Linked DNA regions of Diceros bicornis minor. The protein of the gene in region 1 interacts with the protein of each later gene in a biochemical or structural test. Links are inferred from orthologs where the notes say so. Each region holds a gene or a part of one and is shown in the gene's direction. Other genes may lie near its edges. The genes, in order: NOTCH1, JAG1, NUMB and NFKB1.

The links.
Region 2: the proteins of NOTCH1 (region 1) and JAG1 form a complex in vitro, tested with the Homo sapiens proteins (3 studies listed by BioGRID and IntAct, with this or other methods). The link is inferred for Diceros bicornis minor from reciprocal best matches to the Homo sapiens genes NOTCH1 and JAG1.
Region 3: the proteins of NOTCH1 (region 1) and NUMB form a complex in vitro, tested with the Homo sapiens proteins (2 studies listed by BioGRID). The link is inferred for Diceros bicornis minor from reciprocal best matches to the Homo sapiens genes NOTCH1 and NUMB.
Region 4: the proteins of NOTCH1 (region 1) and NFKB1 form a complex in vitro, tested with the Homo sapiens proteins (2 studies listed by BioGRID). The link is inferred for Diceros bicornis minor from reciprocal best matches to the Homo sapiens genes NOTCH1 and NFKB1.

What each region holds. Positions count from the first base shown.
Region 1 is NC_080767.1:42,289,231-42,296,801, forward strand, and holds the start of NOTCH1 (neurogenic locus notch homolog protein 1), read left to right. Parts: upstream 1-4,571; 5' UTR 4,572-4,793; coding exon 4,794-4,854; intron 4,855-6,570; coding exon 6,571-6,652; intron 6,653-7,571. UniProt on the Homo sapiens protein: Functions as a receptor for membrane-bound ligands Jagged-1 (JAG1), Jagged-2 (JAG2) and Delta-1 (DLL1) to regulate cell-fate determination.
Region 2 is NC_080758.1:38,196,627-38,204,402, reverse strand, and holds the start of JAG1 (protein jagged-1), read left to right. Parts: upstream 1-4,762; 5' UTR 4,763-5,155; coding exon 5,156-5,236; intron 5,237-5,661; coding exon 5,662-5,967; intron 5,968-7,776. UniProt on the Homo sapiens protein: Ligand for multiple Notch receptors and involved in the mediation of Notch signaling. May be involved in cell-fate decisions during hematopoiesis. Seems to be involved in early and late stages of mammalian cardiovascular development.
Region 3 is NC_080763.1:21,565,677-21,573,584, reverse strand, and holds the start of NUMB (protein numb homolog), read left to right. Parts: upstream 1-4,891; 5' UTR 4,892-4,976; intron 4,977-5,182; exon of another isoform or gene 5,183-5,205; intron 5,206-7,908. UniProt on the Homo sapiens protein: Regulates clathrin-mediated receptor endocytosis. Plays a role in the process of neurogenesis.
Region 4 is NC_080747.1:84,937,300-84,944,273, forward strand, and holds the start of NFKB1 (nuclear factor NF-kappa-B p105 subunit), read left to right. Parts: upstream 1-3,962; 5' UTR 3,963-4,465; intron 4,466-6,974.

The sequences.
Region 1 (7,571 bases):
TCGGAGCCCATACCACCCAAGATAGACAGCTCACCTGCTCCGGGAGGCAGGCTGCCTGTCAGGGGACTTGCCCGGGCAACATGCTCCCCAGCCTCTGTGCCTGCCTCTAGGATGCAGACCCTCCTTCCTGGGCCCCCGGGGGCAGCAGGGGGGCTCACAACCAACTGGTGCCCTGGCCCCAAGCTGCCGAGAGGCCTCAGGGCTCCCAAGTAGTGACTGCTGTGGGTGGCAGGTGGACAGGAACCCCCGCAGGGCGGGGCCCTGTGCAGAGTCCTGCATTCACTGCGCCTGCCGTTAGTCAAGGGTCAGTCTGCATCAGTGGGGGGCACCTGCATCTGGGATCGCACATCCCCCTGGAATGCCAGAGATGGATGCAGGGAGCGGGGAAGCCCAAGGGCTCTGGAATGGCTTTCTGGAGGAGGGAGGGGTCATTTCAGCAGAGGACAAGACGTGCAGAGCAGAGAACTGACCTGATGCAGCCTGCCTGGGGTGCAGGGCACAAGGGGTCTTCCCCGGTAAGGCCTGGTGAAGCTGGCCGGGGGAGATGCCCAGCACCTGCAGGTGACCCCGCCAGCCCGCTCCCAGTGCAGACAGCTGGGTGCACACCTGGGCCTGGGGACAGTGGATCCCTGCGTGGAGGGTGAGGGGCAGGCAGAGAAGCAAACTCTAGACCCCAGTCTACCCCCTCCTTTCTCAGAACGAGGGGGAAGCCCTCCAAGGTGGGCCGGAATCCATCCTTAGGAAAGAGCAGCGAGGAGCTAGTGGGCACCCCCCATGCCCCACATGGAGACACGCTGCTCACAGCCAAGCGTCCAGCACCGGAGCCTGGGGAGCCAGCCCTGGCCTGTCCACCCGCAGCAATGAATGCCACACAGCTGCTAAAACCACGTCCTGGAGAAGTGCGCAAACCTCTAGGAGAAGTTGGTTTTCCATGGAAAAAGGCAGGCAGGACTTTAGAACTCACTTGGTGGAGGGAGAAACTGAGGCCCAGGGGGCAGTGATGGTCTCTCGATGGGCCAGCCGGTCAGAGCTCAGTGGTGGGCCTGGCTGTGGTGGACAAGGGGCAAGATAAGAGGCTGGACACTTCTCAGGCCCCCAGGCCCTCTCTTTGTAAGAAGGTCAGATATGTTTTACAATCAACTTCCAAAGGGGGATGGGCCCTACCCCTTGTGTTCTGGAATCTTCCCACAGCTGCCCCCACCAGCACCGGCACCTCCCACTGAGGTCAGGCCTGTGCACCCATCACAGGCCCCCCACACCCTCAGCTCAGCTTCTAAGCCCTTCCCCCAGACAACCCCCCTGAGGGGTGTTTGGGGCCACTGTAGCCCACACCAAGCAGGCCTGTGCCTGTACCCTAAGTCTGACCTGCTGCCCCCACGTTGTGAACAATACTTGACAGCAGGGAGGGCAGCCCTGTCATGTATGCCCAGCCCTGTCACGTACAGAGACAGCCCACCACACCCTTCCGGGGGGCCCACCTGCCTGCTGAAGACTAGGGCCCCAACCTGGCCTGACTCCAAGCCAGTCTCATTTCAATGTCTCAGAAAAATCGCGAGAATGATGCCACCCCACCCTGGGCTCAGGGGTCACAGGGGTGCACCTGAAGCACCAAGACCGTCACTGCAGGAAGGAAAGTGACCGGTACCCCAGGACCTGGATTCTCAGCCCTGGCTGCACCTGAGGACCCTGGGGAGCCTCAACACGCTGACCACCCCCTGCGCCATGCAGACCACGTCACTGCTGACCCCTTCCCCTCTCAGGAGGGGGCTGGGATGGGTTTTCTTGTGGGGGCAGGAATGGGCCAATGACAGCACGGTCCCCTCAGTCTACCCTGATGCTGGCACCCCGGTATCTCTGGAGGCAGGAGAGAGGGGAGCTGCCCTGACTCGGTCTGCCCGGGGCGCAGACGGAACATGATGGCCTTCTCCCCTTCAGGGCCCAGCAAGCTGGCCCAGGGGAGCTTGAGGTGGCCCCTGGAGAAGAAAGTGGCAGTAAGTCACCCCCTGCAAGTCAGGCCTGCAGCTTCCCCCCACTGGTTCCAGGTTCCCCAGGCAGCTTGGGGCATCTCCACTCAGCAGGGGACTGCCCTGCGAACCTCGTCTGGACCCCCACCCTAAGCCAGGAGAGGAGGCCCAAAATGTCTTCACACTGCTGTGCCCCAATTCCACTTCATGGCGTCCCAGCCCCTGCCCCCCACGGGATTTGTGGGGTGGCCAGGCCACATGCACCTCCTCTTCCTGTCTCTCCTTCACTTCTGCAACTGCTCCCAGGCTGTGCCCCATGGGAGAGGGTCTCCAGGTCCTAGGCCATCAGGACTCCCCTCCCTCCCCTCCCTCAACCTCCCCCCCGCCACCCCGGAAGGTTGATAAAGAAGGACGAGAAGGGGAGGCAGGAAATCTCTGGCCGAATTTGTGAATGAAAAAGCTTCCCAACCACTTGCCATGGTCCAGTCTGCCCCCTTCCCAGAACTGGAGGGGAGGGAGGCCCAGCCCAGGACCGTCCTGGGCCTCACACACAAGCCCTCCCCAGCCCCAGCCACTTCTGGCTTTCCTGGGGTCTCCTCGGCCCCTGTTGCCCAGGGGGTACCCCAGGTGGCCAGGGGCACAGGAGTTGGAGGCCTGTGTGTCTGCTTGCCCCGTCTGTAGCACAGGCTAATAACGAGAGCGCCCGGCTCCTGGGGGGACACCAGAGTAGAGCTGGTACACTGGGCAGACCCAGGTAAGACTGCCCTCCTCCCTCTCCCCCTCCTCTATTGCTGCTCCTTGGCAGAAGGGTGAGAACTTCCTCCAAAGCCAGGGCTGGACGGGCCTTTACGTCTGGCCTGGGGCCTATTGGCAGAGACAGAGGGCTCTAACGGAGGGCACATAGGGAGCCGCTCTCTGAGGAGCGCCCTGCCTAAGGCCTTCGGTCCATCCCTTGAAGTAGAGGGGGATGTGGCTCACAGAGCCAGCATCTGTGAGCTGGCGGAGGGGGGGCAGGGGAGGGACTTTGAAGCACCCCTCTTCCTTCTACGGAAAATCTGCTCCTTCAGGCTGCAGGGCTGCTGTTATATAAACATCTTTGCTGCCTCCAGGCGCCTCCTCTCCCGGGCACTGACCCCGAGAGAAGTTAGCCCAGGCTCTGAGAAGTGCCGCCAGCTTCTGGGACGAGGCAGCGAGGGAGGCTCCCAGGAGCAGCTGCCGCGGCCTGGACTGCCTGTGCTCACAACAGCATCTCAGCTGCCACTAGCGTCCAGCAACAGGTGTGCCAAGAAGGGCGGGCTGGGGTCAGGTGTGCAATCTGCCCACCACGAGGCACCCCACTCTTGCCCGCCTCTCTGGACCTCCATGGCAAGGACTGCTTCTCTGCCCGCCTCTGGGATTTCTGCAGTCCTGTGGGTGCTTGTGCCCCATGCCCTTCACCCAGCTAAGTCCCTTGCAGCCTTTAAGGCTCCCCTCTGGCATCACCTACTCCAGGAAGGCCACCAGGATGCCAGGGCTGGGTGGGTGTACCTTCTGCCATCCCGCTCACCACCCTGTGTTGGGATGGTGGGGGGCTGTCTGTCTCCAGTGCAAGGCCCTGAACTTTGATTTCGTAGGGACTATGGCAGGCGTTTTGGACGTCCAGAGCTTAACCTGGCTTGGCACAGGATGCCCAAATCTGGTACTGCGGCGGAGAAACAAATCACCTGGAAGGAGCACTTGGGGGGGCCCTGGGCAGCACCGGCGCTCGCGGCGGGTCTACCTGACCAGCGCGCGCTTTGCGGGGCACGTTAGGCGGGAGGCGCCAGAAGGGGCACGATAGTGACCAAGGAGCATCTAGAGGCAGGTCCCTCCTGAGGAGCGGGTGCGCAATCCGTCCGGCCAGGTGTTGGCTCCAAGCTGTTCCTTGGGGTACCCAGAGCCCCTTTCCAGAGGCTGCGGCTGCAGCGCCACCATATCTCAGGTCAAGTGCCCGGGACGTCACAGCCAGGGGTGTCTGGCCTCGGTCTCCCGGAGGCTTAAAGCTGCGACCGTGGGGCTCCTGGCAGTGGAGCCCCTGGGCGAGGGGCGCACCCACGGCTGCCGAGGGCGGGGCTGCTTCCAGAGCCCCTCTCCTGAGCCCGGGGTCCCCCCAAACTTGGCCTCGGTCGCTCCTCCCCACCTCCCTGGGCCCAGGTCCCGGTGGCGCACGGCCCCCCACAGGCTCTCCTTTCCCCACTCCGCCCGCGCCTCTTCTGCTATTGAGATGCAAATCTTTGCTATTGTCGCCGGACGCGGCAGCAGCCAGAGCCGGATCCTTCCGCAGTCTCGGACCAAACTTTTGGCCCCTGAAAACTTTCCAACAAGAAGTAGTCCCCAAGGCCGGCCCCCGAAGCCCTCCGCACCGCCGCGGCCCCCAACGCCGGAGGACCCGGGCTCCGGACGCGCGCCCCAGCCCGAAGAGGCGCAGGGCTGGTCGGAGCGTGCGGAGGGGCGCGGCCAGCGAAAGGGCGAGGGGTGCGGAGGGATCGGCGGGGGCGGGGCCCCGGGAGGCGGGGCCGGCGGGGCGGGGGCGGAGCGCACGGCCGCCTGCGCCTCACTAGTGCCTCGGCCGCGGGAGGGAGTGCAGGGGCGTGGGGCGCGGGCGCGAGCGCAGCGAAAGAACGAGTCGGGGCGTGGAGCCGGGCCCGGAGGCCGCGAGAGCACAGCGCCGCCCGCCAGCTAGGAAGGAGAGGGCAGTAGCAGGCAGCTGCCGCCCGTGAGACCGTCCGGCGCGCGCGTGTGTGCGCCCGAGCCTCGCCGGCCCGGCGCAGGAGGCCGCCACCGGGCGCAGCGGGCAGCCGGCGGGCAGGCATGCCGCCACTCCTGGCGCCCCTGCTCTGCCTGGCGCTGCTGCCTGCGCTCGCCGCACGAGGTAGGCGCCCGTGCGCCCGCGAACCCGCAACTTTCCGCGCCTTCGGAAACTTTGGCGGCGCCCTACGCGCGCGCTCCGGGTGGCTGGGAACAGGCGGCCAGGGTGGGGAGGGGGGCCGGGCGCCCCGGAGCGGGGGAAGGGGGTACAGAGTCCCGGGCTGGGAGAGAAGGACTGACCCTCCTCCGCGCCGCCTGCCCTGCCGGGGCGGACTCGCGCTGCCCGCGCCTGGAGCCGGGTTTGAAGCCCGGCGTGGGAGGCTGGGGGCCCCGGAGGCCCAGCCCTGGGCTCGCCCTTCACCAGCCGCTCCTGGGGCTCGCCGCCGGGGCGGGCGGGCGAACTGCCTACTATTTTTCGATTTGAATCGAGTCGGTTTTGGTTTCCTGTTGCTTTGGGGGCCATTTATCTTTTTTCTTCGCCTCTGGCCCGCGCCGGGAGCGGATGTTGGGGCGCGCAGTGTGGGGTCCGGGGCGCTGCGTTCGCGGCCTGGCGTGGTTGCTGAGCAAGGTGGGCAGCGGGGCGCGAGGCGGGCCCGGCCTCCTGCCCGTTCCGAGAGATCGCGCAGGGCTGGTCGAGGGGCGCGAACCCAGGGATCCCTGGGCTCCTAGCCGCCCCGCCCGCCGGTGTCCCCCACACGCCGGATGGCCGCCCCCTATCCTGGCTTGCAGACAGTTTGCGGGGGAGTGCGGGGGTGCGGAAGACTCCGCTGCAACTGGTGGGACTTTCACTTTGTCGAGTTCAAGTTTGGAAATCTTACAGAAGTGGAGAGTGGGACTTGGCAAGGGGGCGCGTATTCCTCTCTCCACTTCCCGTCGAAGGGGGCTGCGAGGAATCTAGTGTGATTAATTTTTCTCTTTCCTTAAAATGTTGGAGGTGAGAATTAGTTTCCCATTTCCAGAAGGTAGGGTTCTATGTCACACCCGGTCCCTGCCCCGGTGAGGGGCTTAATTTACACAGCCCTGGTAAGATGGGGAGGAGGGGCTTGATTAATTGATCCTTTCTTGGGGATGGGGTCGAATTCCTTCCAAATGGGGCGTTTTCATCCCCCTCCCCTGGGTGTGGCAGAGGGCTGCCCCTAAAGATGCCTGCCCGCAGGAGCAGGTATTGGGTGTCTGTGCAGGCAGGGCCAGGTCCCCAGGGTGCAGTCCTGGTGCCCCAGGAGGCGGCCCTGGCATGACAATGGGCTGCTCTGATTCCCCGGCCAGCGCTTTGTTGGCGGGCGGGGCGGCCGGCCTTGCAGCTGTCGCATTTTCCCACGAGCGGGGGAGCTGAGTGTGGCCACCCCCCCCCAGCACTGCCCCCTCGCAGAACGTGTTTGAACAGCAAGACAATCCCGGTGGCTGGATAGGGGCCCCAGCCCAGCCCAGCTCCCCAGTGAAGACGGGGTGGGGGGGCGCGGAGTTTGGGAGAATGGCCCAGGATCATCTCAGCTTTTCTCCACTGCTGTCCAGGGGGCATTTCAGGCCACCTCACCCCATTTTGAGCATGACCCGTCTACCTGCCACCCAGCCAGCCTGTTCCTCCTCTGCAGTCCATTTCTGACTACAGAACTCTGGGCAGAGTATTGAAGCCTTGGGGTTCAGGCCGGGGCTTCCTGGGGCCCCGGGGCCCAAGCAACCCCAGGACAGGGCAGAGCCTGCATGGTGAGGGGTGGGCGGTGCCCTGGGGGTGGGCCCTTCCCGGAGCTGAGGGCTGACCTCTCCTCTCGCCCCTCCCCAGGCCTGCAATGCTCCCACCCCGGCGAGAGCTGCTTGAATGGCGGGAAGTGTGAAGTGCTTGCCAACGGCACTGAAGCCTGCGTGTGAGTACGCCCCTGCGGGGACCTGTTGCTTTTGTCGGGAGCAGAGCCCCTGCCTTCTGTGGCGGCCGGCAGGGACAGAACACTAGGCCATTGTCTTCTGGAGATGGCCCAGAAGGCTGGGCGCAGTCACGTGCTACTTTTATTGGACAAAGTCTGGCAATTACTTAATCACCAGCAATTATGCTGCGTGTGGAGCTGGTCTGGCCACTGGAGGTTTGAGCACTTTTTTGTGGGCCCCCTTGGGCTCCTGGGGGGCTAGGTGAGAATTCCTGGTAACCCATTTCTTCCTAAGTCCCTGAGAAACAACTGAGCTGCCAGGAAGGCTCTGGAGCATTTGTAGAGGAGCCCAGCCCCCACCACCCTGCCAGCTGGGGAGCATCTCTCCATCTCTCTTGGGCAGGTGAGCTTCTCCCCCGGGCAAGTGATGCCTCCTCCGGGCAGGTGAGCATCTCCCCCGGGCAAGTGATGCCTCCTCCGGGCAGGTGAGCATCTTCCCCAGGCAGATGAGCATCTCCCCCTGGCAGGTGATGCCTCCCCCGGGCAGATGAGCATCTCCCCCTGGCAGGTGATGCCTCCTCCGGGCAGGTGAGCATCTTCCCCAGGCAGATGAGCATCTCCCCCTGGCAGGTGATGCCTCCCCCGGGCAGATGAGCATCTCCCCCTGGCAGGTGATGCCTCCTCCGGGCAGGTGAGCATCTCCCCCGGGCAGGTGAGCATCTCCCCCCCCCCCCGGGCAGGTGATGCCTCCTCCAGGCAGGTGAGCCTCTCCTCCGGCAGGTGATGCCTCTTCCAGGCAGGCAATGCTTCTTAGCAAGGAATTAGCTGTTTCAAAGTCAAACCCACCCTTCTCAGCGCTCTGCCTTCCCCAGCTCACTCCCCTCTGGCCTCAGGTGAGGTTGGGGAGAAAAGTTGGAACTCG
Region 2 (7,776 bases), on another chromosome or scaffold:
GCCACAGCGGAGCACGCACACTTAACCGCTTGCGCCACCGGGCCAGCCCCTGTGATTGGTTTTTCAAAGGGGACATGGACATGTGGCTCTATTTGTCCTGATAGGTTTCCACGTAATGTCTGTGAGACAAGATTGGGGCAAGATAAGCAAAATCATAAATAACTGAGCTCAAGACAAAACCAAAACAATGTTTAAAACAAAGCTCATACAAAATTACTGTCGATAAAGCAAGAAATTCATAGTTCTGGTTTCCCAAGAAAATTAACTCAGATCTCCTGTGTATGTAAAATGACGCTTTGAAAAAAATGGTTGGATCTATTCAATTTATGCTTGAATGTATAAACTTGTGGCCTGGTTATGGTTACTATGGGAGCTATAACTTTAACCTGATTTTTTTAACATCTAATTCATTGCCCATAGGTTGGTTTGGGCTTTTTTTCCTTCAGAACTTCTTGTGACGTGGAAGAATGAGAATAATCCATGGAGGTAGCTGTATATTCAGATGCTGTGCTTCCTTGGGGAACTGGCTGGGCAGAGTTTACTGGGGGCTTGCTTTTTTTTTTTTTTTTTTTTTTGCTGAGGAAGATTTGCCCTGAGCTAACACCTGTGCCAGTCTTTCTCTATTTTGTATGTGGGTCCCCGCCACAGCATGGCTGCTGACAAGTGGTGTAGGTCTGCACCAAGGAACCTAACCCAGGCTGCTGTAGCAGAGTGCGCCGAATTTAACCACTAGGCCACAGGGCAGGGCCTGAGCTTGCATTTTCTAAGACAGTAAAGTGGTGGAACAAGAGAAGAGCTTGTAGGACATCGGAGCATCCTTCGGTTAAGCTGGGAAGGGACAGAAAGATACCACATCTGGTTTTCCATGGAAGAGGGCTTGTGAACTTGTAGGAACTTTTTTTCAATGTTCAAAGAAAAAGAAAGATATTAAAGGATATTTCACATGTCCCTTCTCTATATTTGGACCTTTCTCTCTTATGTACTGGAAAGAAGAAAAGAATTAGGATGAAAAGGAATGGGGGAAAAGGAACCATCTCCTTCTTATTCATGACTACCATCTACATTATCATCACCCCTTACAAAGCATGCTCTCTACTCTGAAGTGTTTACGTCCAATATTTTGGTGTTGTCCACCACATTCTTAGCACCCTACACAATACTTGGCACATCAGTAACTGTTTTCCTCAACATTTTGTGGTGAAAAATTTCCAACATAGAGAAATTTGAAAGAATTTTATGTGAATACCAGATGCCCACCACACAGATCCTATCATTAACACCTCACTATTCTGCTTCAGCATATATCCATCCAGCCATCTTCCATCCATCCACCAAGCCCTCTAATTTTTTTATGCATTTCCAAGTTGCAAATATCACTTCACCTCCCTCTAAATACTTCAGCACTCATATAATTAACTCAAGTTCAGTATTACAACTTTTTTCTCTTTTGAACACATAATGCAAGGCACCAGTCATGTGTAGTAGTTAATGAATTTTGACAAGTGCATACACTTGTGTAACCCAAACCCTTCTCAAGATACAGAACATTACCCCTACCCCAGAAGAGGCTTCAAGCACATCCCAGTTCATCGCCACTCTCCCATCTCCCCAAGCCATTACTCTTTTGATATTTTTTGACCATAGATTTATTTTGCCTGTTCTAGAACTCCATATAAATGGATTCATACAAGATGTAGTCTTTTGTGTCTGGCTTCTGTAACTCAGCATATTTTTGAGATAATCCATGTTGCTGCAGGTAACATAGTTCTCAATAAATATTGATTTGCTGATTTTTATCAGTCTTGATTAACCAGGAATTTAAGTTGACTAAATGTATTTAAATACAGTTATTATAGCTAGAACATCTCTTATTAAGCCTTTTGGGAATTCAGCACTGCTATTTGTTGATGACTCAGTAAACGTACGGTAAGTTTTGTGGAAAAAGAAAAATGAAGCATCCTCTTTTTAAAATGAAAGAAGATACTCAAGGATGGTTATGATTAGAGCCCATGGCATAGTAACTGACCACAAGCTTTTCCCCTTCTCACAGGTGTAGGTGTGACGGCTAAACACGGTATTTTTCACAGGAACTTTTTTCTGGAATGTTCACTTACTTTAGGCTATATCCAAAGGCAGGATATGACCTGGCCAAGGGGGAATCTGCAAATTTGAGTTCTTTCCACAGTGGTTCCCCATTCTCCAGAGAGAGAAGCTGAGAACTGGCTGCAAGGAAGTGGGGGCTAGAGCTTCCACTTGAAGTCTGTTGCGGTAAACGTGACTGGCTTTTTGGGGGAGTACCAATTAGTTGAAAGAGTCCCAACTGAAAATTTTCAAAAGAATCCCCTCTAGCCCACAACTGTCTTCTCTAAAAGTGGGTTCCCAGGCTCAGGACGGGTGAGGGACACCGTGCTATTTGGCATGAGAATTTTGTGTCTATTAGTGATTTGACCTTTCTGTTAAGGTTAACCAGATAGTTTTGACCCCTCAGAAATCTATGTTCCTTTCCTTATTAGACGGGGGCTAAATTCACCTGTGACTTGGAGCCGACCTCCAGCTTACATGCAGCCCAGATGGCTACCTGGAGGCACCTGCAATCTGAGGTAGCCCTCTCTGGTTAAGCAGGCGGCTGGGTCTAAACTCTTCATCTAAAGGCCTCTTGCATCCACAGCTTCCTTCCTGAGGTGTATGCAGGGCGCAGGCCCCAGGGCCCAGAGTTAAAATAGATTCAGACATGGGGAACTCCAAGGAATGTGCATTTTAAGACTTCACCAGCCTTAATGAACGGTGCTTTTTCCAGCACCAGCATTTTGTTTTTAAAGCATTGCTTAGCGCCTCACTTAGGGGATATTCGGGGATAGAGGTGAGGAGGGGCAGATAAGAGGCGGGAGAGATTGGTTTGTGTGTAAACTTTGGTGAGAAAAGTGTAAATGAGATTACAGTTGGCAACTGGATCTCTTGCGTTTAGGATAAGCGGGGCGGGGGGGGGGGGGGGACGGGACACGGACACGACACGACAGGGGCACTTTAAGACAAAATGCCCAGGTTGCTGCAAACTTGTTCTTCTCTTGCGTATGTCCCTTCCAAACACAGATTGTTAATTCTCTCATCAATGATCACCAAGATGGAACACACTATCATTAAGAAGGTGCATTTCTTAGGAGCATTTCTTGGGCTGTTAAAATGCCACGATTCCTAAACCATCCTTGGTGGCTTTGAACCAACGTGAAGAGCCTTACATCTATTCCCCAGTGTGATGAGAGCTGGCACTGAAAATACTGTCCATTGATTGGTAAGCCTCCAATTAAACGCAGTAAGTAAATCATTACAAATTACCCATTCTTTTAGGCTCTCCTAAATCAGCGTGTTGGAAACTATTTTCCCCTGACCCATTGCAGCCTATCCTACTCTACAGCTCTGGAGGGCTCCAGCCACGAACTGCTCCCTAGATGGTCACACTTTTCCACAGGACATACCCAATCTAAGGGCCAAAACTTCGTCCACTCTTCAGTGGAAATCTATCTTTTCCCGAAAGAGATCCCCTCAAACGCAGCAGCAGGTCCGCTGGGAGAGGGGTTGGCAAAGGCTTCTGCCAGCCCGAAAGTTTCCTTTGCCCTTGGTTATGACCGGGAGTTGTCGCTGTTAACTGCAAGGCTCGCTTCAAGGTGGAAAATAGCATGGGTTTCCACTGCCACCCGAGAGGCCAAGTTCCGCTGCCTGGCGATGGCGGCGAGACGGCCCCTTCCACGCTCATCTCTTGCCACCCAGAGAGCTGCTCCGAGGCCGCCTACAGGTGCAATCCCGGCACTGCGGCCCGGGCAGCGGGCCGGGCAGGGCGTGAGCCCAAGCCCCACGGCATCTCTGCCCGCCCTTCTCAACGCCTGAGCAGGGCCCCTGCGTGCCCGCTGCCCTGTCCCCGCGGTGTCTCCTGTCCCTCTCGCCCCTGGCGTGGTTTGGGAAGGAAGCTGGGAGCCCTCGAGGCTCCGCAGGCTCGGATTTGGGAGGGGGTGGGGCGCGGCCGAGGCTTCCCCCGAATCTGCGGCAAGCCTGGCTCCGGGAAAGTTGTTCAAAGTTCCCAGCAGCGCCTGCCCGGGTCGCCTCCGCCGGGCGAGCAGACGGCGGCGAGCGCGCCAGCCTCCCGCCGCCGCCGCCTCTGCCGCTACTGCCGCCAGCAGCGTGCTCTGGGCGGCTCGCTCGCTCGCGGGAAGCGGGCCGGGCTCCCGGCGGGCAGACCCTCCTCCCGGGGCGAAAGCCGCAGGTGACGCAGGCGGCTCGGAAGGCGGAAGCTGCCCCGCTCCCACCGCTCAGGCAGCGCGGCGGCGCCTACACCTGGGGCCCCGACGGGCGGGCAGAGACGCCCCGGCTGAGGCGCCCGAGGGGGCGGTCCGCGCGAGGGGCCCCGGGGCGTCCCCGAACAAAGCACACTTCCCAGCCCTTCCCCGCGCCCTCCCGGGCCCGAAGCTCGGGAGAACAGGGGTCTGCGCTGGGCCCCCGACGTCTTCGCCATCCTGCGTGTCCCCGAGCCCCCAAAGCCTTCAAAGTTCCTCCAAGTACTCCCCTCCCCACCAACCGGGAGGGAAGGGGCGTGTCCTGTGCGGACACGCCCCCTCATGAATATTAATAAGCGCATGCGCCTGCTCGGCGCGCTGGGTAGAGGTGGCCAGCCCGGGCCGCGGCTCCCAGACGGGCTCTCCGAGTCCCTCTCCGAGAGCCGGGCGGGCACGCGTCATTGTGTTACCTGCGGCCGGCCCGCGAGCTGGGCTCGGGGTTTTTTTTTTTTTCTCCCCTCCCTCTTTTCTATGCAGCTGATCTGAAAGGGAATAAAAGGCTGCGCATAATCATAATAATAAAAGAAGGGGAGCGCGAGAGAAGGAAAGAAAGCCGGGAGGTGGAAGAGGAGGGGGAGCGCCTCAAAGAAGCGATCAGAATAATAAAAGGAGGCCGGGCTCTTTGCCTTCTGGAACAGGCCGCTCTTGAAAGGGCTTTTGAAAAGTGGTGTTGTTTTCCAGTCGTGCATGCTCCAATCGGCGGAGTATATTAGAGCCGGGACGCGGCGGCCGCAGGAGCAGCGGCGACGGCAGCACCGGTGGGAGCACCAGCGCGAGCAGCAGCGGCGGCGGCGGCGGCTTCCCGAGTGCCCGCGGCGCGCGGCGCAGCGATGCGGTCCCCACGGACGCGCGGCCGGCCCGGGCGCCCCCTGAGCCTCCTGCTCGCCCTGCTCTGCGCCCTGCGAGCCAAGGTAGGAGCCCGCCGGGCCTCCCTCCCGGCCCGCCCTCTCCTTTCCCTCGCGGCGTCCCGGACGCCTGCGGTTGAGCGCCGCGAGCGGGCTCGGGAGCCCTCGGGCGCCTGGCTGCGTGGTTGGGCCCCTGCGCCCGAGAAGCTACACCTGGACTGGGGGAGCCCCCAGCCTTCTAAATGTACCCTCTAGGCTGGGCAGGGGGCGCGTTCGCTCCCCTCTTGCTCCCCGGGGGCAGTCGTCTGATTCTCCCGCACTCGTGCACTTCATGCCAGGGAATAACGCTGAGCCCTTGCACCCACTTTTGCAAAATTATTCTCACTTGGCGCCGAGGGCTCGTCGGGGCAGGCGGTTAGGGAGTCGCCACTTCCACCCTCGAAGAAAACAACTTTCCCCCGCGCTGACCTCCCTCGCTCCCTCTCCGGCAGGTGTGCGGGGCCTCCGGCCAGTTCGAGTTGGAGATCCTGTCCATGCAGAACGTGAACGGGGAGCTGCAGAACGGGAACTGCTGCGGCGGCGCCCGGAACCCGGGGGACCGCAAGTGCGCCCGCGACGAGTGTGACACGTACTTCAAAGTGTGCCTCAAGGAGTACCAGTCCCGCGTCACGGCCGGGGGACCCTGCAGCTTCGGCTCGGGGTCCACTCCTGTCATCGGTGGCAACACCTTCAACCTCAAGGGCAGTCGCGGCAACGACCGTAACCGCATCGTTCTGCCTTTCAGTTTCGCCTGGCCGGTGAGTGACGGACGCAGGGAGGGAGGCCCGGCCGAGGTTCGCACCCGCGCCTGCCGAGCCCTGCTTTCTCTTGTGAGAGGGATTTAAGGGTCTTGGCTTGAAACTCGGCGGTAACTGGGGAAGTCGTTTGGGGTGGAGGGTTAGGGAGCCAAGATTCTACAGTTAGAACTCGGCGGGCCCCATCTCCGCTGCTTTTTGCAAAGCGCACAAAAGTGGAGACCCCAGAGGGGATTGTGGGGCAAAGATCCCAGGAAGGCCGGTTTAAACTTACAACTTGAAGGCTCTAGAGTAATTGCCCACCCCCTCCCCCCAAATGATCTTTGCTTAACCAATTAAACCCGATGCTCCCTGAAAGGCGGACTCCGCGCAATTCTGGCCTTCGAACGCCGTCCAAATTGGCACCCTCCCCTTTCCCGTGAGCGGCCCGGAGGGCGGGTGTGTCCTTCCTGGAGGGTGTGGGGGAGCCCGTTTCCCGCTGCTGCCCCGGAGGTTTTGGTGCGTGCGGGGGCGCGCTCCCGGCTAGGCGCAAGGGGACGGGGGCGACCGCCGCAGGGGGTGGGGGTGGGGGGGGTCTTCGGGCCTTCGCCGGAGTTGTTGGCCCGGGAGCCTCCGCCCCCTGCCGGCCCCTTCCTGCCCTCGCCCCCGCGCGGTGTAGCCCTTGTGGCCTAACTTCCAGCAGTTCCCGGGCTCTGGAACAGCTGTGTTTGCAAACTTCCCCGGGAAGGGCGGGGGTGCGCCCTTGTCCGGCGGGCGCACAGCCCCCGCAAGCCTTCGGGGGCGTGCCAAGACCTGGAAGGGGCGGCCCGCTAGAAGCAGTCCTTGCGGCTGCAAGTGCATGGACGCCCCTCCAGCCCCCGGTGCTGTTCGAGGTCCGGGCCCCCGCTGGCAGAACCTGCAGCGAGGCCTTTACGACATCCTGAAATGGGTGGAAGGAAGATGAGTGTGATTGCAGAAGGAGAGGAAAGGGAAAAATGTTGGTGCCCTCTGCCCCCCTCCTGCTGTCCCGGAGGCGTGACTCATTGCCAGGACCGGGGCTTGGCCGAGCCTGTGCTGGGAGGGTGGGTGTTGAGAGGGGGAGCTCAGCGCCCCGGGGGAATACTCTGCGCCACGTGCTCTGATGGGGTGCGCTCTGCTGCCTCCTATCCGCGGGCTGGGGCTGTGATTCGCCACTTGGGGAGGGGAGAATGTCTGCCGTAAAACTTGGAGTGGCTTTCAAGGCCCACGTTTAGAGGAGCTGGCATTGTAAAGTGCCCTCTGCCGTGGGTGAGATAAGACAGTTATCAGAAACATGCCATTAAAAGAGGTTTATAAAAACCTGTGGTATGTGGAGTTTTCTGAGAACGGAGGGCTGCTTGTGTTGTGGGATTTCATTTTTACAAAGAGCGTTTATCTTGTTTGTTAATCCCCTATTAGGGAGAACTTTAAGCTAAAGAGGTTGGCCGCTTTTTAATCTGGCTGGGCCCACAATGACTGTGGATTCTGACCGCCCTTGAACGTGTGTTTGGAGTTTAGGGGGAAGGGGCCTGCAGGTGGTTCCACCCTCCGGAGGATCCTCTGGAGCCCCTCGCTTTTCACAAGACCATAAAAGGAATCTTATTAGTGATGTGGGAAAGCTGCAGGCCTGGCTGAGGTTCATTTTGGAGAGCAGGGTCAGAGGACGGCTTGGATGAAAACAGGGAGCCTTGCTCCCCAGGCTGGCTAGGGAAACGTGACCTAGAAGGTGTGTCTGTCCCCTCTTGACACTTGGCAGAGAGTCCTGGGTGGGGAAGGAGGCGGAAGCAGTGTGTGAGAGCAGAGAAACGATTGATC
Region 3 (7,908 bases), on another chromosome or scaffold:
GAAAGCAGATCCATCCTGACTAAGCCTTGAGATGACTGCAGCCCTGTGAAAGACCCACAGCCAGAGAACCCAGTTAAGCTACACTAGGATTTCTGACCCACAGAAATGGAGATAATAAATGTTATGTTACTAAGTTTTGGGGTAATTTGTTATGCAGCAAAAGATAACTAATGCATATCCCATTTTGTTGATGAAGAAATTGAAGGTTAGGGAGATGAATCAACTTTCCCAAAGTAACACAGCTAGTAAATGGCAGAGCCAGGATTTGAACACATTTAGGTTCAAGTTTACTTTCTTTTTTTTTTGGTGAGGAAGATCAGCCAAACATCTGTTGCCAATCCTCCTCTTTTTGCTGAGGAAGACTGGCCCTGGGCTAACATCCGTGCCCATCTTCCTCTATTTTATATGTGGGATGACTGCACAGCACGGCCTGATAAGTGGTGTGTAGCTCCGCGGCCAGGATCCGAACCTGCGAACCCCGAGCTACCAAAGCAGAGTGCATGAACTCAACCACTAAGCCACTGGGCCGGCCCCAGGTTTACTTTCTTATGAGATTCCAAGTGATGGGGAAACTGGAGTTCTATAAGGCATTCTACTCTCTGAAATCCTTGGAGTGTAGCCATGTTTCCAAGAAACTCTGTGTGTGTGTAAAACAGGGATGGACAAAAGTTTAAATGGTGCTGAGTATTTTAAGCGGCCTACTCCCTGCTGCAGAAGAATGGCTGATCTAGCCATAGATCTGGTGATAGTAACCAGGGTCTCCATTCAACAGCACAATGGCAGAGCTAAAAGCTGCAGCCCATCCATTTTACAAGCACTCAAGCCATCTTACCTATAATATGTAAGGCGGGTAAAGGGGTAAACACACTTTTCTTTCTTTTTTTTTTTTTTTGTGAGGAAGATCAGCCCTGAGCTAACATCCATGCCAATCCTCCTCTTTTTGCTGAGGAAGACCGGCCCTGAGCTAACATCTATTGCCAATCCTCCTCCTTTTTTTCCCTAAAGACCTAGTAGATAGTTGTATGTCATAGTTGCACATCCTTCTAGTTGCTGTATGTGGGCCATGGCCTCAGCATGGCCAGAGAAGCCGTGCATCAGGTGGGCGCCGGGGGTTCTGAACCGGGGCCACCAGTAGTGGAGCACGCGCACTTAGCCACTAAGCCAGGGGGCCGGCCCCCACACACTTTTCTTGAGGATGAAAATGGCTGCATTGAGTAATGAGAAGGTATGGTTTGCTATTTAAAAATCATATGAGCCCTCGAATTGGAAAACAAATGGTTCTCCCCTAGAGAACACCCTCCTCCACTGATGTGTGTGCGCGCGCGCTCTTCTTCCCCTCCGTAGAACAGAGCCTTGAACTTTGAAATCACAGAGCTTTGTTCCTGCATGGAAAGCAGCTTGGCACTTCCCTGTGTTGGAAGCTCCCCAGTTTGGGACGGTAAAAACGTCTTCTTCTAGATAGTTTCCCTTTGTTCATCCAGAGCTTCATGCCAGTGGTCAGTTTTACGAAATCTAATAAAGATACATTCATTGGCGGGCTGCATGAATCTATCCTTCCTTGTCAGCTTTGCCCTGTGCCAGAGCAGCAGGTTTAAGCTCAGGGAGGATTTCCAGGTGGCAATAGAGCAATGGTCCCACAGAGTAGAGTTCTGGCACAGTTCTCCTTTTAACTAGTGGCAGAGGCTGCCTTTTGTTGGCGTAATTGTGCAACCTGGTGTAAAGTCCACAGCCAGGGAGTGAGGCTATGACTCTATCTAAGCTAGCTCAGCACTCTGTGGCCTCTTGACTCTTTCCAGCTTTCCTTACCCTCTTCTCTACTGGCCTTCTCTCTCTCATCTCTATCTCTATATCTCTATGTCTATCTCTCTCTGTCTCCCCCTCCCTCCTCTCCAATCCCTTCGTCCCTGTCAGCCTCCACCTTCAGGGATTCCTAACTCAGGGAACCACCTCTTATCAAATATCTTGGCTTGCCTCCAACTGCTAGGAGCAGGTGGCTCTGGCTCTTGTCTGCTGAGTGATTTTCTTCTCCACCAGTTGTTTCTCTAACCCACTTGGAATTGTGTGTAGAATCCAGGAGGAAAATGTCCAAAAACAAAAAATGGAGCTTTTCCCGAGTGAGATTTCCCCCATGGACTAAAATAGGAATGAAAGGAGACTCAGATTCTGCTCCCTCAAAAAGCGATACGATGAAAAGAGGGCAGGAGTGATAAAGAAAAGAGAGTAAAATGTAGCATTGGCATACACTAAGGCCCAAGGCAAACCACTCTGCTCCTTAGATATTGGGACATCACTCTGAGTCCTTCATTTGCCACTTAATCAGGATTTATAGAGGCTATTTTTGCCTTTAACATACCTGCCATCTTGGTCTTGCTCAAGTGGCTCTGAAGAGATACCATCTGCACCACCTCCACAGCCCGCCACACAACACAAAGCTGCAGACTTCCTGACTCCTGGAGTTCTCGCTTTCTAAGAGGGGGCCTTGAGAGTGGTGGAGAAGCACATAACACAGGACAGAAAAGAGAAGCTGGATGGAGCAGTTACGTTCTAAGGTTACCTTGTGCACGCAAAATCAAAACATAGAGTCCAAGCAATAACCTTTCCAGTACTGCATTGGCCTCCATAACACAATAGCCTTCTGTTGGATCAAAGAACATTCCTTAAAACTTTCTTTCTTTAAGGTTTTCTCTCTTCTTACTGGGTTGTACATGTTTAATTTTACATTTCTTTTCTTCACTGATTTTCACAAGGAATGGGAGTGGTAGAAGTGTATATGCATGTATGAGCAAAAACGTTTAGTGTATAAAATAGAGTGAATAGCTGACATTTGTGGCAATTTTCCTAGTTTTGTGATAGTAATTTTGTTGAGTTCCTGAACTTAGATGGCAAGCCCTCTTAGTGAGGCTGGCCTAAGTCTATGTTCTCTGTGGCACCTAGTCACTAGGGCTGTGCAAGAGTCATTATTACCCAAAGTACCATAATAATGGCCATGCCCTCCCATGACGTTATTGTTTCCTATCTGCCAGGACATTAATTGCCTTCTAACTTGCTCTAAAATTGGTAGGTAGGGCACACTGCCAAGACTAGAGAGAAGAAAGCTGCTGGTAATATATTAAAAGCCTGTGAAAGGACATACTGATACCTCCTTCTCATTGGAGCATCTTCATATTTGCATGTTACTTCATTTGTTATGGGATATTAGTTCAGGCTTGCCTTATGTCTTGGATTCCATCTTATCATGGTCAATGTCTGATCTTTCCTTCAACTGAATGATTCAGACATCTCTGAAGTTATTTTCGCTTTTCCACTTTCCTTTACAGGCTTTTTATGAGTCATTGAATTGAAGGGGAGGTTACTTCTAAATTGGAAGGTGGGGATGAGAGAAGGGGGAGGAAAGTTCTGGAAAATAACTAGGAAAAGACACCTTATTGTTATGTATATTTACTGGAGGAATAATTTCCGCTTAGTTTGGTTATAGAGGTATGTAGTTTATTCAAATTTGACTAAAAATATAGGCTAGAAAATACACAATTTTTTCCTGGAAAACGCACCATACAGTTTTAGAGTCCTTGCCCTGCAAAGGACAGGAGGGTAAATAGGAGATATGAGACAAAGAGTTAGCAGGAAGAAGAAAGGGGCAAAGCACAAAATTTCCAAAGTCCAGATTCTTGGTCCCACAGGAAGTTCCCAATCATAAAGCACCGCTTGTGAGGGGAATACCTCCTTGCCCTGTCCCAACCCATCCCTGGGTGTATGTTTCATGGCCCATGGGTTTGTGTATTATAGATGGAGTTGTGAGGGAGGTGCGTTTAAATTTGCTTTAGAAATTGAAAGAGTAATCAGGCCAGCATTTTGTTATTTAGGAGCCGGAAAAGTGAGTGGACATAAAAAAGAAAAGCAAAAAGCTAATGATAGATACATTTCTAGGAGCACTAGAGTTTTTATAGCAACACCAGATTTCTCAAAAGTGCCTACTGTGATTTGTACCCAAACGAATAAAAAAAAGCAATCCTTTATTCTTGCGCATTGTGCCAATGTGAGAAAAGAACTGCAATTCATTCAATGGTTCTAATTTAGACCACTAGGAAGAAGAGAGGTTTAGAAAAAAAGACAAGCTTTTTAAGTATCTGACACACATCTACTACGGCTATTTAAGAACTGCTGAATATAAAAATCACGTTGTGGGGGCGGGGGCGGGGGGGTGCGGACTTCTCATTTCCAGAGCATCACAAGGGTAAACTGTAGTCCAAACTTGCCGATGGCTGCCTGGTCACTTCGCAGGAGCAGGGGTGAGTCTGGAAGCTGGAGAACACTCCACACGCCGCTTCAGTTTATTAACGACGTTTATAATTGCAACCGAAGTGGACTGATTTCTTCTAAATAAAGTTGTGCTTTGCCCTTTAGCATAGAGACTTCTGGAAAGAACTTCAAGGAAATTGAGCGCATTGAGACCTCAAGAAAAGAAGGGGAAATAAGCTTCTCCTTATAGGGAGGGAGCTGGAGAAAGTGATGAGTTTACAGTCTGCACTCTACAACAAAGAGTTAACCTTTCTCCGGTAACCTCGGATGTGAGCGTCAACCCCTTCCTTGCTTTCTACTGCGCAACCAAACTGTGCCTAAGCTTGAACCAACCGTGGCGGTCATATCCCTTGCCAGTTGACTTAACAGACACTTTCGCCAGCCTATCATAATTTCGAACTGCCCAACCGTCAACCAATTACGACTAAAGCTTGGTCTGGGACGCTCCAGGTCCGGGCGGGTGCTAATACCGGGTCCAGGAAAAGGGGCGGTGAGGAGGCTATGACGGACAGGTAAATCAAGCCAGTCAGAGCAGAGAGCAGCCGCCCCACTATCCAATGGACAGGTAGGAAGTATGAAACGGGGTGGGCCTGTTGTCATGGGGGAGGTGGTGGCGCTAGGTGGCTGCTGGCGGCCGAGGTAGAGGCAGTGGCGCTAGAGTTAGTCGCGGGCAGCGGCAGGTGAGTGCCTGTAACGCAGGCCTGAGGTTTGGGGCCGTCGCGGGGCGGAAACTCCAGCTTGGCGCTCCGGAGGCGGAGGCCAGAGGCAGAGGGCCTGGACTGCGGGCCGGGTCGCGCCGGGGCTGGGGCCGGGGCGGGGGCGGCGGCGGCGGCGGCGGCGACGAGTTCGCGCTGACTGGGCTGGTGGGAGAATGGCGTGGCTCCCGGCCGCGGAGTTCGCGTCGGCAAGGTAGGCTGGGGCCGGACCGAAGTGGGTCAGGCCGGAGTTCCCTTGGGACGTCCAGCCGCTCGGGTCTGGGGCACTGACCGGCGACTGATGTGTGAGGGTTAGGTCCCTGGGGAGACGGGAGAGCGGCCGGAGTCCCAGAGAGGGGGTGACCTGCGGTGACCGGTAAAGATCTGATCCGAGGGCGAGTGATTCGGGAATACCCGGGACAGCTTGGGTGCAAGGGAGAGGGGGAACCCGGGAAGCCCGGGAGCGGCCCGAGCGGAGGGAGCTGGGGGGGCCGGGACACTGGGAATGGCTCGGGTTCGAGGGAGAAGGGCGGTGGGGAGACCGAGGGCGGCCGGGGTCCGAGGTGACAGGGAGCGGCCTGGGTTGGGGCAAGGGCGTCTGAGGAAAGGCAGGGAGGGGGCTGGGGACCCTCCTGAGAAAGGCCGCTGTCCGAGGGAGGAGGGTTCCTGGGGACTTAGGGAGCTGCGGGAGTTAGGAGGGTCGGACCTGTGGAGACCTTGACCAGCTTGGGGAGGACCCGGAGCGCCCGGCCCCCTGCCGCTGGTCTGGGATGGGAGACCCCAGACTGGGCTGGGACCTCCTGGAGCTGAGGATCCTCGGTGGACCGGGAAAAATATCCTCGAGGCGTACCTCGGGTTTAAGACTGGGGACGGGGGTGAGGGGTCTGGCAGGGGAGTGGAAGTTTTCTCAGTTGGAGAGGAGTCAAGCAAAATGACACGGGGGTGGGCGGGGAGAAATAATTTCCTTGTAGGAAGGGAGTAGTAGCTAGGGCGCAGTAGGAGGGAGCGAGAAAGTTGCTTCGGAACAGAGGAGTGGTCTTGTGGAAACCAGCCAGAATAGTAGATATGAGAAGTTAACAGTGGGGTCATTAATAGGTTCTAAGGACTTCAGAAATAGAAGACACTTCCTAGCTTCATAATACTAAGATGCCGTCTAGGACCTGAGGAAAGGTCCTAAAAGCAAGACTAAGTGACTTGCATTCCAGTGCTTTAGAAAAAACAATTGTTTTAAGATGACAGCAGTAATATTAGAAAATCAGGACGTTGACAGGATGGGGAATTTGAAAGGGGAAAGGGGAGGAGTAGCTGAACTAAAGGAATAGGACTGGGGACTTGATAAGACAGGAGAGTCGCGAAAAGGATAGGCATATCCTTGCTAAATTAGAAATACGTTTGAATTCCAGTTCCACCACTTAGCTTGAACAACTTAACCTCTCTGTGCAAAAGTTTCCTCCTCTGTTTAATAGGGATAATAATAGTTCCTACTTCATAGGGTTTTTTTTTTTCCTCATGACGTAGTATTTGTAGAGCTTTTAGAATAGTGACTGGCACAGAGTAAGCGCTGTGTACTGGATTGTTAAATAAAGGATAAAGACAGACCTGAGTTCTTTAACGCAGCAGTTCTCAAACTAGCTTGCACCAGAATCACTTGGAGGGCTTGGTAAAATACAGACTTCTGACCCTACCCAGAGTTGCTGATTGAGTAGGTCTGGGATGGGGCCTGAGAATTTGCATTTATCTCAGGTGATGCTTATGGTCAGGGGACCACAGGTTAAGAAGAGCTTGCTTTAATGAAAACAGTAATAATGTAGCAACTTGAAAATATCTGTCTACCCTGTTAGAGACAGGTAGAGGCAAATTGCAAAAAAGATCCTAATATAAGGGATACCTTATTTTAAGGCTATGTTTTTTCAGACTGTGGATCATGATTTATTAGTAATTTATGAAATTAATTTAGTGGGTTACCACCAGCATTGAAAATAAAATGAAATAGAATAGAACAGAATTGACTGGCACTGCACTTAGTAGGGAAAAGTGTTGTTCTGGGAAACTTTTCTCATACATGCGTGAACTAGGTCACAATGTAAAATGTATTGCTCACAGTGAAAAGAGTTTGAAAAATTGTTTTGAGCCATGCAGTGCAGCAAAAGCACTAGGGGTATCTAGGGACTGGGTTTATTATTTATTTCTTTATTTTTCTTCTTTATGTGGTAGTTCTTTCTCAGGTGGTGATACAGTCTATTAAATTTCTTCAGTTTCTGATTTGGTTTCTCCTGTGTTTGCCTTATCGCATATTGTGTTATGCCTCTTTTTAGAAACTGAGAATCTTGGGGGTGAGGATTTAAGGGAATTTGAAGCAGGGAAATGAAATTGACTGGTGTTTCTCAGATGTGGTGCACTCTTGTCTCTCTTGTGCCCTCTTGTTTACCTTCTCTTTTTTTTTTTTCCCACTGTACCTTAAAGCAGTGTCTGTAAAAAAAACCTGAGTATACACAGACATATTGACAGTAAACAACTAACACTGAAATGGGCTGGTTTGAGAACAGTTCATGTATAGAAAATAAGTAAAAACCAAGCACATTTTTCAAAAGAGAAAAGTGAAAGGGTGTTTCCTTTTTAGAGAGTAAATGCATCTTAAAGCTTTTTATTGCCTTACACTAATACAAAGCATATAATATAAAAGCCTTTTTAAGGGAACCGGATATACTTGTGTATTTTATATATCTAGATTTTTGAAGAGGGAATAGTGATAATACTTGACAGTAAAATACACCTGGGATAGAGGCTTAACTACAAAGTAAATAGTTTATTTTGCGGGAGCTATTGTGTTGATGGTTTTCTCGTTGGAGAAGGAACTGGATATCGCATATGTTGTAAATTTAACTTATTTGAGGGACCTAAATGTAATCTACAATAC
Region 4 (6,974 bases), on another chromosome or scaffold:
TTGTCTCTAGACCTTTGTGAGGTTGGCTTATTATAATATAACATATATATTGCTGTTATATATGTACATAAGACAACATATGTGTTGTTACATATATATGTGCATATACTTTTCTTCGTCTGCTAACTTGGGCTGCTATAACAAAATACCACAGACTGAGTGGCTTATAAACAACATAAATTTATTGCTCACAGTTCTGGAGGCTGGAGCTCTGAGATCAGGGTGCCAGCACGGTTGGGTGAGGGCCTTCTTCCACATCACAGACTTTTCATTGCGTCTGCACATGGAGGAAGGGAAGAGCTAGCTCTCAGGGTCTCTTTCATAAGGGCACTAATCCAAATCATGGGGGCTCTGCCATCATGCCCTAAGCACCTCCCAAAGGCCCCACCTCCTAATACCATCACCTGGGGGTTGGGATTTCAACATACGAATTTTGAGGGGACACAAACATTCAGACCATAGCAATACAACATATATAATATAAAACATTATATAGGGCCAGCCTGATGGCTTAGCGGTTAAGTGCGTCGCTCCGCTACTGGCGGCCCAGGTTCGGATCCCGGGCGCGCACCGACGCACTGCTTCTCCAGCCATGCTGAGGCCGCGTCCCACATACAGCAACTAGAAGGACGTGCAACTGTGACATACAATTATCTACTGGGGCTTTGGGGAAGAAAAAAAGGAGGAGGATTGGCAATAGATGTTAGCTCAGAGCCGGTCTTCCTCAGCAAAAAAAAGGAGGATTGGCACAGATGTTAGCTCAGGGCTGATCTCCCTCACAAAAAAAACAAACATTATATAAAGCTATTATACAGTGTATAATATAAGCTATCATGTTATGCTTATTGTACAGGTGAAGAAACTGAAGCCCATACAAACTATTACTTGGCAAAACTTACACAGATAATTCAAGGCAAAGCCAGGATTCCAACTCAAGCCAGATTTCGAGTCTAGTGAAGTCTTTCCATTTCATCTTGGCTCCCATTGCTAAGAGCTGTGACCTGAGTGTTTCTAAGCATGTTGAGGTGGCTTCATGACCCGAAGCGGGTTGTACCCTTTACAGAAATACAATTCAGTACTGTTCTATCCCCAACATGGGTCTTAAGAGTTTGTAACACTCAGATGTATGAGTCTGTATTTGTGAATCCCCTTCACACACTAAATAATTTCTCACTGTCAATGTACACTCAGAATTCTCCGGACACCAACATTTCCAATACTCAGCTTCATGAGAAGGGAAATTCATGTGATTTCAAATATTTAGTGACAAACAGAACACAACTGCTCTTTCTATAATCTTGATGCCTGAAATCCCACATTTAGGCATTTCTTTCTCTGTAGCCTGATAATGGCAAATGCCCTCTGACACCTTACAATGGATGAATTTGTAAGCAAGATTCCTGGAAGCAAACATGTAGACGGTGTAGAGAAAGTGTTAGGAAACAAAGCAGGAATACAAGAAGGTTAGCTGTGAGCCAAAAGGAGTTGACTGGGGGCTTTTATAATTTTGTCTCCTGTGGTGCAGTAAATTGTGTTCCCCAAAAAGATATGTTCAAGTCCTAACCCTGGGTACCTGTGAACATGACCTTATTTGGAAATAGGGTCTTGACAAATGTAATTGAGTTAAGATGAGGTCATACTGGATTGGGGTGGGCTCTAAACCAATGACTGGTGTCTTAATATGAGGAAGAAGAGGGAGATTTGGATACAGAGACACAGGAGAGACACAGGAAAGGCCACACCAGGACAGGCAAAAATTGCAGTAATGTGGCTAAAAGCCAAGGAATCCAAGCATTGCAAGGAGCCACCAGATGCTAGGAAGAGGCAAGGAGGGATTCTTGCCTAGAGCCTTCAGAGGGAGCAGGACCCTGCCAACAGCTTCTAGTTTCCAGAACTGTGAGAGAATACATTCCTGCTGTTTTAAGCCACCCAGTTTGTGTTGGGATGTTACAGCAGCCCTAGGAAACTAATACACCTGCTTAACACCCCACCCTCAATTCTAAGTTCATTCTATGGGATACTTTTGAATCTGAAATTTAACTTAATCCTCTTCTAATTAACACTAATTAACACTCGTTGATTTTTGTTCCCAAAATATGTCAGGCTAGCTCTACTCTTCTAAAGATCCCGACTATCCATTCTTTTGGCATGAAGCGTGTGAATGCTCACATCTACCCCATAAAGAAAAAAACCACTTCCCCCACACTTTGTTGTTTCATGGGAGTTTGCACTCTTTATACTCATGTCAGTGGCAAAAATGATTTTATGCAAACCATATATTAATCTACTAAAATATAATATTGGCACAATTTCTAACAATGTTCCATAAATAATAACACAGGGTTTCTAGAAAGTCATTATCTTCAGTCTGTATAAATTCCCTGCATTCCAGCTGTTCAGACAGCCTCTGGGAGCTAAAATGAAATTGCTTAAAGGTACAGTAGACCCCCCTTGAATGCGGGGGATATGTTCCAAGACCCCCAGGGAACGCCTGAAACCACAGATAGTACCGAACCCTATATATACCATGTTTTTTCCTATACATACATACATATGATAAAGTTTAATTTATAAATTAGGCACAGTAATAGATGAACAATAACTAATAATGATAGAACAATTATGAAAACATACTATAATAAGAGTTTTGTGAATGTGGCCTCTCCGTCTCTCAAAACATCTTCTTGTACTGTACTCACCCTTCTTGTGAGGATGTGAGATGATACAATCCTAGGTGATGAGATGAAGTGAGGTGAATGACGTAGGCATTGGGAGGTAGCATTAGGCTACTGCTGACCTTCTGACAAAGGTTAAGAGGAGGATCATGGAGCCATAACCAGTTGATGGGTGGATGCAGAGGATGTCTGTGTTTGACCTGGGGTAACTGACACTGCAGAAAGTGAAACTCTGAACAGGAGAGGACTACTGTAAGTTGCTGGTTGGTCCCGAGGTCCCTGCAGAGACTCATCCCAGACTCAAATAAATGCATCTCTACTCCTCTGCCCAACACTCCACCAAGAAGATTCTTATAACCTTGGGGAGGGAGAGGAGAGGCCAGGCAGTGGGCATGAAAGGACCATGCAGAACTTGCTAGTAGCAATCTAAAGCCACAGCAACACTGCCTAGTGATCCCGTGATTACGGATGTTTTCAAGTTAAATTTACACAGTTGTCACTGAACTCAGCACTGAGACAATGAGTTCTAAAGCACCGATTCCAACTCAAGATTTCTTATTGGGGAGGTAATCTACTCCAAGGGATCCCCAGCCCACGCCTAGCACAGCACCTGGCACGTAGAGAAGCTCAATGCTAGTGGACGGTGGTCACCGGAGACATCTGTCCGTGGGTTCCAGGAGCAGTCTCTCCATTAAAAAGAGAAAATCTCTCTTCTGCCAGATCAGGATTTCTTTATGAGCTGTGAACCAAAACCATTGCTACCACCATCACTATAACTCTATCCACAGTATTATCATAAGGCCTGACAATGCCCTGTAGATGAAAGTTCTGAATAACAGTCATAACCAGGAGATTTAAGATCTCACCAACAACCAGTAGATGTTCAGACCTCACTGGACAGAATTCAGTTACGATAGAGAAATTCCAGTTTAATCTGTGAAGAGATTTGAGCGTAACTGAGACAACTTACATGGACTATACAGATGGGATTTATTTTTATACACAGCATGCTTGGCCCCGTGCCGACCCATCATCCCCTCCAGATGCCTGGGCCCGTCCTTAGGGGCCCTGGACCGCCCGACCCTATCAGCCGCCCCGCCGCCTGCTGCCCGGGACAGCCGGCCCCGCAGGCCTACCAGGGGGCGTCCCGCCGCTCTAGCCCCGTGGCTCCTTCGGGAGCGCGGCGGGGAGCGGGCTCCGCCGGGACCCGGCGGCCGCGCCGCCCCACGCGCGCCCCTCGCCGCGCGCCCCACCAGTGCGGGCTTCCCCCACCCCCGCGGCGACCCCACCTCCCGCCCCCGCGGCGTGCGCGCTTGTCCGTCTGTCTGTCTGCTCTCTCGACGTCAGTGGGAATTTCCAGCCAGGAAGTGAGAGAGTGAGCGAGCGAGAACGAGAGAGAAGTGCACCGGCGGGCCGGGGCAGGAAGAGGAGGTTTCGCCACCCGCGCGGCCGGGCGGCGCGCTGACAGCTTCCCCTGCCCTTCCCGGCGCTCGGGCCTCTCGCCGCCGCCCTCGGCCGCGCCCGCCGCCCGCCCCGGCCCCGGCCCCGGCCCCGCGCAGCCCGGCCTCCCCGCCGCGGCCTCCCGCGCCCGCGCTCCCTCCGCCCGCGCCGCGGACATGGCGCGCCGCTGACTGGCCTGGCCGGCGAGACCGCGCCCCGGCCCGACCCGCCCGGCCCGCACCAGACCCGCTCCGCCCCGGCGGCCGCTGCCTCTGCCCTCCGCAGCGCTCAGGCCCGCGCCCCCGGAGGGAGCCCCCGGCGCAGGGAGGCCGCGCGGACCCGCCACCAGGGTAAGCCACCTCGGGCGAGGGGGGCCTCGCCGGGCCGGGTGCCCGAGGCCCGCCGCCCACCCGCTGCAGCCCCTGCAGCCCCTTTCGGACTTCCTCATTCCGGCGCCACCGCGGGGCCAGCCCGCGGGAGGAGGTTGACAGGAGTGGCGAGGCACATGGGACTGGCGACAGGGAGACAGGCACATCCGGGCCGCGCAGGAGCCGGTCGGCCGCAGGGCCGCGGCTGCCTGGCCGGCCTCTCTCTCCCGTCCCCGCGCCGGGCGGGCCCGGGAACCGGGGCGAACTCTTGCAAACTTGCTTTATCCCCACCCCACCCCTGCTAGGGGCGGCTTGAGGTGGAGGTGCGCTTCGGCGGCGCCGAGGAGCGAGGGGAAGGGGGTGCGTTTGCGTGCAGTGCTGAACCAGATTTCACCGCCGGGCGGTTCACGAAATGAAAGCAGAAGTGCATGGCCGTCCTTTAGGCTGGGAGAGCCCTCCTCGGCCCTCTAGACTGAGGAGGACAGCCTGATGCCCTCGTCCCTTACTCCAAAAAGAATCCCCCCTACACACACACACACACACACACACACACACACACACACACACGACATAATATACTCAACTCACCTACTCTAGGACCCTACATTAGTCTTCAAGAAAACAAGGAGGGTCTGGTGCTGATCCTACAGTGCCTGGCATTTGAGAAAGAAAAGAAATTACCTACTTAGAGCACTTTTTAGACACTCTGATTATGTGAAACACTTGAACAACGGCACCATGTATTGTGCCTGACCTCTAAAGCAAACATAATGATATAAACAAAGCCTGTCCTAAATACAAGCTTTCTGTGGTCTTTAAAAATAAGTACGGAATGGAGATGTTTGCCCTGATTTATTGGTCTAACCTGAAACTTAAATGGGACTTAATGATACGGTATTTGATTGTCAAGATTTAAGGCGTTTTCATGGACTTTGTTGAGTAGGGTTTTTCAGCATTCAGCTTATTAAAGAACTATATTTAGCTTAAAATTTTTGTTATAAAGCCCATAATCTGAGAAAATGCCTTGGTATTACTAAAACATGTAATAGCTCTGGCATACAAATGTTCTTCTACAAACTGTTGCTCTTTGGTAGACACTAAAGCTTGAAATCAAGATGTTCAGTGCTTGTTTTCCTAGCAGAATACTTCAATTGAGTATTCTTGAGTAGTTTAAATTGCATTAGTGTTTGTTAAAACTTTGAAAGGGAATCTTGAGTAAAATAAAGCCCTTAGCTGAACTATGTTGTTTTCCTGATTTTAATATTGTGCTTTCTAGAGATGAATCCTTTTACTGTTTGATGCACTAAAGAAATTATGTAAATAATTTAAAGCAAAGTATTTTTTTGAGCTTACAAACTTGGGAAGACAGGAAATAAAAGATTTGTTTCCTGTAACATTTTATGTTTATCACGTAATTGAATTGCTAAGGTGAGAAGAACATATATAATAGACGGAAAAATGAAATCTACTGAAATTATTCATCCATCTGGTTATACCTGCAACTCCTCAGTGCCCTCTGGGGCTTGTTTAGATAGAATGTTTTCCTGGACCACAGTCTCCTGGACAAACATGAGCCAAAGAAAGACTCATTATGTGGAGATTTCGTGCTGGCACTGAAGGGCTGCTTGCCGTCAGCAGTAAACCCCTTCTAACCTGTTTGAAAGGCTTTTAAAAGGAAATAGTATAATGCAGTTAGGGATCGGTGGTGATTTGAAACTCTATTATCTTTGTTCTGAAATTTCAATTTTGTCTTATGTTCTGCAGTTGGCGTTCACATGGGCTGAATAAATGCCCCTGTTTTTCAGACCCGGTTAGTAAATACTGGAATATACATACAAAAATCGTTGTTCCCCTTTGTAAGCACTGCTTTGATCTTTGCACTTCCTTCTTACTTCTACCTCTTAAACAAGATCGTCTGTGATGACTGAGTTGTAGTTGGTAAAAGCTCAATTAGTCTGAAATGGCAGAATTTTAGTTTTAGTGATCATATTCCTCATATTTCTCTTCTCATGTTCTTTGGAACAAATTGAAGCTAGTTTAAGAAACTAACATTTATGGAGGTTGTTTTTACTACTGCTTTCAGCCTTCCAGATAATTGATGAAGTAAGTTACCACCTTGACTATCAGAGGTTACTCCTTGTGGTAGATAGAAGGTCTGGATAAGGAATTGGCAGCTACAGGGATCTTGGACTATTATTCGATCAGCAGGACCTTGTTTTTTACCTAATTTATGAGAGGTATTCCCCTGTTCAGAAAAGGTGAAAGTTCTGGCTTCTGGGGGGAAGTGGTTACTTCATAACCTTCCATTAGTGTGAACTTGGGAGAAGTAAGAACAGTAGTTGACATTTTAAAACAATAAATTTTAAAAAATATCTGAATTTCCATATGGATTTTTGATAAAGTAGTCAAAATACCATCTTCTTCTTCTTCAGAAGTTATTAGTAGATGTCCTGTTCCGAGCATAGAGATGACTGCAGTGGAAAGTGTATCT